2 linked regions of the Schizosaccharomyces pombe genome follow. The protein of the gene in region 1 purifies or fractionates together with the protein of each later gene. This does not show direct contact. Each region holds a gene or a part of one and is shown on either strand. Other genes may lie near its edges.

Region 1 (3,926 bases):
GATGCCAATCCTGAATTAAGCTTGCTCTTGGATTACAATCTTGCACGTTGTGAAGAAGAATTGGGTAACACTTCTGTAGCTAGTGAAGCGTATGTTTCGATTCTCGAAAAACATCCATCTTTTATTGATGCCCGTATTCGCAAATGTTTACTTCAGTTATCCAATCCTAACGAGGAAACGTTTAAAGAAATTCGTCATATCATGAACGCAGATTCTCAAAATTTAGAGGTTCGAGCATTTTTTGGTTGGTATTTGAGTAAACAAAAGCGTCGCCCAGTAGAAGATCCTGAAGTTAGACACTGCTCTCAGACCCTTAGACATTGGCACGATGACATTTACTCCCTAGTTCAACTCGGTAATGCCTATATGAGACAGGCAAGAGAGTTTCGTGTACATAATGATCGTGAAAAGTTAAAAAGGCAAAAACTTTACATCAAAGCTATTCAGTCTTATGATCAAGCTATTAAATTTGATCCAAAAAACGCACACGCTGCCCAGGGTATTGCCATTATATTAGCACAAAACAGGCAATTTTCTAAAGCTCTACTTATTTTGAGTAAGGTTCGTGAAGCAATTAAGGATGCTACAACACTCATAAACATTGGCAATTGCCTTGCAGAACTCAAACAGTTCAGTCGTGCTATTGAGGTATTTGAAACCGTGTATTCTAGTACCGGAGAAAGTGATACTTATGGTGTATTGAGCTGTTTAGGCCGAGTTTGGCTACAGCGTGGTCGCGAAAGCAAAAACGTCGACTATTTAAAAGAATCCGTGCGATATGCTACATTAGCTTTAGAAAAAAATCCCGAGAATCCAAGCCTTTTATTTAACGTTGCCTTTGTACAATTCCAGCTATGTGAGCTCATCCGTCAGAAACCCGAGAACAGTAGAACTGTTGAGGATCTGAACTTTGCAATGCAACAGCTTGACGCATCGATTGAAACTTTTACCAAACTGGTGTCTGTCGAACATCCACCCTATTCTCCTACCAGTATTGAACAACGTGCAAAGATGGCTAAAAATACTACTAAGCGTCAATTGGAGCGCGCTATTCAAGCGCAAATCGAATATGAGAAGAGTGTTGCTGCCAAACTTGAAGATGCTAGGATTCAAAGGGAAAAGGAGAAGGCTCGAAGATTGGCAGAGGAAGAAGCTTTACTTAAGGAAAAGCAAGAACGTGAGAGGCAACTTCAGGAAGAGCGACAAAAGATGCAAGAAGAAGTTTTGGAGTGGAGAAAGAGTCAGCAGAAGGCTTCTGAAGATGATATGAGCTTGTCTGATGACGAAGAAAAACAGTCAGGCAAGAAGAAAAAGAAAGATCGAAAAAAGCGTAAATCTAAATCGAAACAGGAATCCTCGGATAGCGGAGTAAGCGAAGATGATGAAATACCATTGAGCGATGCCAGAAATAAAACTAAAAAACGTCGTGTTAATAGAAGAGTCATATCCGAAGAGTATACTTTTGACCAGGATAGTGACGCGGAGGGAAATCAAGAAGAGGAGGTTTCTCGTACTATCGAAGAAAAGCAGGATAACGATATCACAGACAATCAAGATGACAATAAAGAGTTAAATCTATTCTCTGAAGAGGATGAAGAATAATAATTATGCTCATTGCTGTTTGAATTATGCCGTTCAGATAAGAATTTTCTTATTTCAATGGCATATTAACTTTCTCCCTTCAGTTATTTGTTGTCTGTCATATATATGATTTATGATCTCGTGTAATAATATCATTTAAATTAATTTTTTGTATACAAAAGCTCTTGTCATTCATTTACGCTTTTTAGACTAGATTTGTTTTTTTCTATCCACCCTTTCAAAAAGAACTAATAGGTTTATTCACCCAAGAATCGTTTCATTCTACTTAAATAACATTAACATGCGTGTTAAAAGTGATTTGAACATTGGTGATTAACATGCTCAACTGTGCAACATAGTGATGATTTTAGCGCGCCTGTATTGCAAACATTGTTCCCCCCTCCCCACACTAATCTCACAGTTTCTAACCATTTTATCAAGTACTTTCTGAGCCTTTCTTTTTTTTCAAATGAGTTATTTGTCCGTCGGGGATGAAGTCCTCATCCGTGGAGAATTAGGAATAGTTCGATTTGCCGGTAGTACTGATTTTGAAAGTGGTATTTGGTTAGGCGTAGAATTGTTAAATGGAAAAGGAAAAAATGATGGAAGCGTAAAAGGGAAACGATATTTTTCATGTGAGAAAGGAAAAGGGATATTTGTACGCGCATGCTCTTCGAATGTGATGAAAAGACCAAGTGTCGTCAAGTCAAGGAAAAAAGGATCAGAAAACATATCAAATTTTATGGAAAAAACTAAAGCAATTAAACAAAAATCACGTAGGGAGCCCTCAAAATTTGAAAGATCATTGGCACGCCCATTGTGCATTACACCTATTGATTCGTCTACTCCCACAAAGACAGCTACGTTTTATACTTCATCTACAACTGAAAATCTAGATGAGCTAAATTTTTCAACAGAAGAATTATCAAGTTTTGACACTACTTTGTTAAACTCAGATACGAGCAAATTGTCTGGGCTTGACGATAGTAGTTTTATGGAAGAGGAATTTGTATGGCAAGTTGACAACGTTTTGCAGGAATGTGAAAAAAAATTTACTCCTCATTCAAAGGGAAGTTATTTAAAAGAGAATTTAAAGTCAGAATTAAGGAAGGGTCGTTTGGATGAATTGATGTGTGAAAATACCGCCTTAAAAGAAAAAATTGATAAATTAAATAAGGAATTAGAGAAAGTTGAACCTCAGTTGACATTCCTTCGCAGTAAAAACAGTATTGAAAAACCTCGGAATTTTAGGCGTGAAAAGTTTCTCAAAAAATTCTTGGCTATGCAGAAAGAAATAAAGTATCTAAGAAAGCGAAAGTTGCAAATTCGAAAGATTCCTAATTATAAGTACTCTGATCGAAGTTTGAATTCCAAAACTCCTAAAAGCCAGGACAACTGGACTACACAAGTTACACCATCTAGTCTCCTTGGGGTCTCAGAGGTTTCTAAGGTTTTGCAATTAAAACAGGTTCAGGTCGACATAACTGAGCTTGTAAAAATTCCTAAAAACCCGTTTTCTGAGAAATTGACAATATCTAACGTGAATAGATACTTAAATATTGTACCGGGAAGTTTGGATTTACAATTTTCATTAACAAATGAAAATTTTGTACATTGGAATAGCACAGTTTATCAAGAATTATTAAACTTAAAGTCCAACAACTCTTCAGTGGATGGTGTGAAGACAAGAAGGCAACTGTTGGAGGAAAATGCTTTGTTGTCTCATAAAGTATTAAAACTAACAGAAGAAATTCAAGACTTGGAAACTTTGAATCAGCTAAACACTGAAATAGAAGCAAGACAATCGGAAAAGTTAAATGAGGTGCAAGAGGAAACTCAAAGGCTATCTCAGTTACTAATATCTTCTCAACCTGCTTTGACAGAAGTTAAACATTTGAAACTATGCTTATCAGACTCTCAAGAGGAATTATTGCAATTAAATGCAAAACTTGAGAAAGCAAATATTGTAATAGACGAGTTAAACAGTGCAAAATTGAAACTATCAAAACAAGTGGAGGAGGAAAGTAGTATGAAAGACGACCTTACAGAAATGAACCAACGTTTAAAAGAACAAATTGAATCATACGAGAATGAAGTTAACTCTGAAATCACTTCTAGAACATTGAAAGAATTTGAAACATTAAAGACACAGTATGAGAAAAATCTTTGTAATTTAAGAGAACAGCTAAAGACCGCAAGGATGAAACTGGCCGATAAATATCCACAAGGTGACAATACTAGTGAAAATATAGACTGGCTCAAACACAGTTTACGGGATTCTAATACTGAAAACTCAATTCCAAGCCCATTGACCTTTGCCTGCAAGGAGATAAGAAAATTAGTTG
Region 2 (3,926 bases), on another chromosome or scaffold:
AATACATTTTAGCTACTACTAAATACTTCTTTTGATATTCTTTTTAGTGAACAATAAAGAATATTGGTTTGATCAACACGGTCATCTTCAGAAAAAAAATTTTTTATTCGTTGGTTTAATTAGTTAAGAAAATTTTTTTTTTCTTTCTTCGCTGACGTCTCGATAATTAAATCTGCGAACGGTGATACTTCTATTCTACACATTTCTATTTAATCACTGTTATTTTCTTTTCTTTTTAATTTCATCAATAAACATTTTTGATTCATCGCTATGTTTTCTATTCTTAAACAAGGTGTCATCTCCAAGTCTCTTTTAGCCGCTACCTCTTTAAAGGCAACGGCTTCAAGATTTTCCTTCTCTACTAGTGTTGCTTCCCGTGTTGACGGTACTAAGAATGGTTGGTCTTTTACCGCATCCAATGTTGCTGATCAAACCACCGATATCGGCATTAACTCTGAGTCGGCTATGAGCTGTAACGACCAAGAGCAACCTCTTTCCTTTTACGTTCAAACTGTCAGAGATGACTTGAACTCTCCTAATTGGGGAGCTGAGCAAAGAAAGGGTGCATTTGATTGGGAAGTAAGCGCTTAAACCCGAATATTGTATACAAGAAGAAAACCCGATTTCCGTTATGATCAGAAGAAAATAATAAAAAGGGAAAACAAAAAATTGGAAAATTGAATGTTTTATCTTATTCGATAAAAGCATTAAACAATCTAACAATGCAATCTTTTTTAATTCGTTATTTTCGCTTTTCTTTTTTTTTTACTCTTCTTGATGTAATTGTTAAGACATGGATTTTATTTTTATTTTTCTAAGGAATTTCGATTATTGGAATTCTTTTACCACCCCCATCCCTCTTTTTATTACCAGTTTCAACACATTGGTTCCCCTGCTTTAGAATGTTTATCGATATAAGCCGTGAACGGTTCCTTGCTTTTACCATTTTTAAATGAGGCAAGACATATGTATTATTAGTTTATACCCCCAAGACTTGTTAGTCTTTATATTATTAGTTTGTCTACTTGTTGACTATAATGATAGTCGCTGATAAAGTTGAAGTTTCCACCTTAATCTTTGTTATTTTATATCCAATTCGCCATGGTCACATTGATTTGATTGAATTTTCGGTTGCTGGATTACAAAAAAGAAATGCCAAATGCGATACAACTGTTACATTTAGATTCAGAATAGGAAATTGTTTGTATAATTAAAAAATAGAAATTGTTTATTTTAATACATTACTACTGATTAATGAGTAGATGAATGGTGGAAGATTGTAAACAATTATGAAGACAAGGTCAGCATTGTCTTTCCGTCTAGCTAAGAAGCAACCCGATGTGCAATTTATAAAGTAGTGCGGTTTAGTGTTGATACGTTATCTTTTTGATAGTTTGATTAGTTATTTCGAAAACACGTTAAAAATGCAGTGAATTTTGTACAGTCTTCTTTACAATCCATTCAACAACAATTACGAGTACGAGCGGCTTTATGATGGGTCTAACCAAGATGTAAACATAACCATTATTAAGCATATACTACAATTCAACTGAAGAAACAAATTCAATCGAAAGGGTTGTCGTAATTTCTTTATATGGTTTTCATTCAAAAAGCCTATTGAATGAAACAACTTATGTATGATAATTGCAGGGTATAGTGATACATAACGAAGCTTAATACTGCTAAGTTTCTTGTCAAGCATGCTACTTTCTTTAGACAATTCCCAATTGCTTTAACTAATAGCTGTTAGTGACCAATTTCCATTGGTTTAAGGTATTTTTTTAAAAAATTGGTACGATTGTTGTTCCTCCTGTTAGTATAAAATTTCTTGGCAAAGCCCAAAACCTTCAAAGTTGCGTCTTCTATTACTGTTTACCCGCCATTTCCTTCATTATTGCTAGTGCTCTCAAATTTCAAGCCGCTTAAAGAATAATTTAAACCCTTAATAAAACTTTCTTTTAAAACCTCCGAGTCTCAACTTTGATATTTCAGCTTTTTGGATGACTGTTACTGAAATGTGCGTGTCTTTTGAAAGAATTCTATTTATTGACGCGTTTTAGCTTTGATAATCAGCCGATATGTATCGACAATGTATGCCAGACTCTTTTTAGCCGGCTATTTCCTGTTAAACTGTCTAGTTATATTGACAAAACTATCTAGGGCTCTGGATTTATTAAAGCTGGATTCGCTGGCGATGATATTCCCAAATGCCTTTTTCCGACTTGGTATGAAGTTTATTTCTCATACTAGATACTAATATACAGTGTTGGAAGAATTAAGCATGAGCGTGTCATGCCAAGTAGTATCCAAAAAGATATGTTTGTTGGTTCTGAGGCTCAAAATCTTCGCGGGTTGCTTAAAATTCAACGTCCAATTGAACGGGGAATCATCCAAAATTGGTCCGATATGGAAGAGATTTGGAGCTATATTTATTCAGATCAACAGCTCAATACTTTACCGGAAGAACATCCCTTGCTTTTAACCGAACCTCCTTTGGCTAACATCCGAAACAAAGAAAAAATTGCAGAGTATTTTTATGAAACGTTAAACGTTCCAGCATTGAGCTTTTCCTTGCAGCCTGTATTGGCACTGTATGCCTCCGCACGTACAACTGGCATTGTTCTTGAATGTGGAGATGGCTTGACTCATAGTGTTCCTATTTATGATGGGTTTTCCATTCCATCAGCTATACAACAAGAGGAAATTGGAGGTCGTGACGTTACAGATTATTTGCAATTGCAACTTCGAAAATCTGGCCACGAACTCGTCAGCTCGGCGGAGAAAGAAATTGTCCGGGAAATTAAAGAAAAATGTTGCTACGTAGCATCTGACTTTAGATCAGAAATAGAATCATGGACTGAACACAAACCGCAGATTCATACATATCAACTCCCAGACAACCAAACTATAACTTTGGGTACAGAATGCTTTTCTGCGCCTGAGGTTTTATTCAACCCGGAAATGATGGGTTCTGAGGCGTCTGGTCTTCACATACAATTGTTCAAGTCTATTTTATTGTCCGACATCGATTTAAGGTCAACCTTATATTCAAACATTGTACTTTCTGGAGGTTCAACGTTATTGAGAGGATTTGGGGAGAGATTCATCTCTGAGTTACGTGCAATTTCTGGGAAAAAAAATCAAGTTAAAATTTATGCTTCCCCTGAACGTATGCATAATGCTTGGCTTGGCGGCTCAATATTAGCCAGTCTAAGTACATTTCGTCGGCTTTTAATTACTTCAGAGGAGTATAAAAATGATCAAAACGTAATTTTTAGGCGAAGATTTTGAAACTTAAAACGAGTATTGCAGTTTATCGCTCTTCATTTGAAACTTTTAAAACCAATATTACATTGTACCAGTCTAAAGCTTTAAAATTTGGTATATCTTTTAAACAATCAGTCTAATATTTTCAATTCACTAAGCTATACAAAAGAATACCAGCAGCTACTGAGACGTTTAATGAATCAACGTATTTATCACCGCCGGGAATTGAAACATAATGAGAACATTGCGTTAAAATGTTCGTTCTTAAACCCTCTTTATAAAGTTAGCAATAAAGGCATTCATACAATACACTTACTTTCACTTCCTAGTACAAGTATTTTCGGTTCATTCATTAGTTCTGTTTTGATTTTATGCGGGGTGTAAATTTGATCTTTGTTATCTGGCAAAGCTGGCTTGGTCCCTATGACTTTCCAACCTTTTAAAACTGAGTTCCTCAAAAAGACCATAGGATTTTTCACGTGGCTAATGTTGAAGACTTCAAGAGCTCCAGCTGAAGCTTTACTAACGACCGGTGACAAGAATGTATTATGTTTTTTTGATAATAAAATCCCTTTAGCGCCTAAAATATACTTAAACCCAATTAGAAATTTTAAATAGTAGCAAACGATAGCTTACAGCGCTTCGAATAACGGCACCCA

Evidence for each region.
Region 2: the proteins of ssm4 (region 1) and arp1 purify together in Schizosaccharomyces pombe (affinity purification with western blotting; one study listed by BioGRID). This does not show direct contact.

Annotation. Positions count from the first base shown.
Region 1 is NC_003424.3:4,534,811-4,538,736, reverse strand, and holds the start of ssm4 (dynactin microtubule-binding subunit, p150-Glued Ssm4), read left to right. Parts: upstream 1-2,000; 5' UTR 2,001-2,050; coding exon 2,051-3,926. Other genes in the region: RNA polymerase II-associated Paf1 complex subunit Tpr1, read left to right, coding at 1-1,602. UniProt on the Schizosaccharomyces pombe protein: Binds to nuclear microtubules with the effect of either modifying their structure or function. This then promotes meiotic nuclear division.
Region 2 is NC_003423.3:4,081,937-4,085,862, forward strand, and holds arp1 (centractin family actin-like protein Arp1), read left to right. Parts: upstream 1-2,000; coding exon 2,001-2,017; intron 2,018-2,060; coding exon 2,061-2,091; intron 2,092-2,160; coding exon 2,161-2,225; intron 2,226-2,264; coding exon 2,265-3,291; 3' UTR 3,292-3,412; coding exon of another isoform or gene 3,413-3,540; 3' UTR 3,541-3,572; downstream 3,573-3,926. Other genes in the region: protein sro1, read left to right, coding at 271-591; SPOM_SPBC1347.14C (uncharacterized protein), read right to left, coding at 343-708; mrm1 (ribose methyltransferase), read right to left, coding at 3,413-3,540, 3,584-3,857, 3,904-3,926. UniProt on the Schizosaccharomyces pombe protein: Core component of the dynactin complex which assists cytoplasmic dynein by increasing its processivity and by regulation of its cargo binding.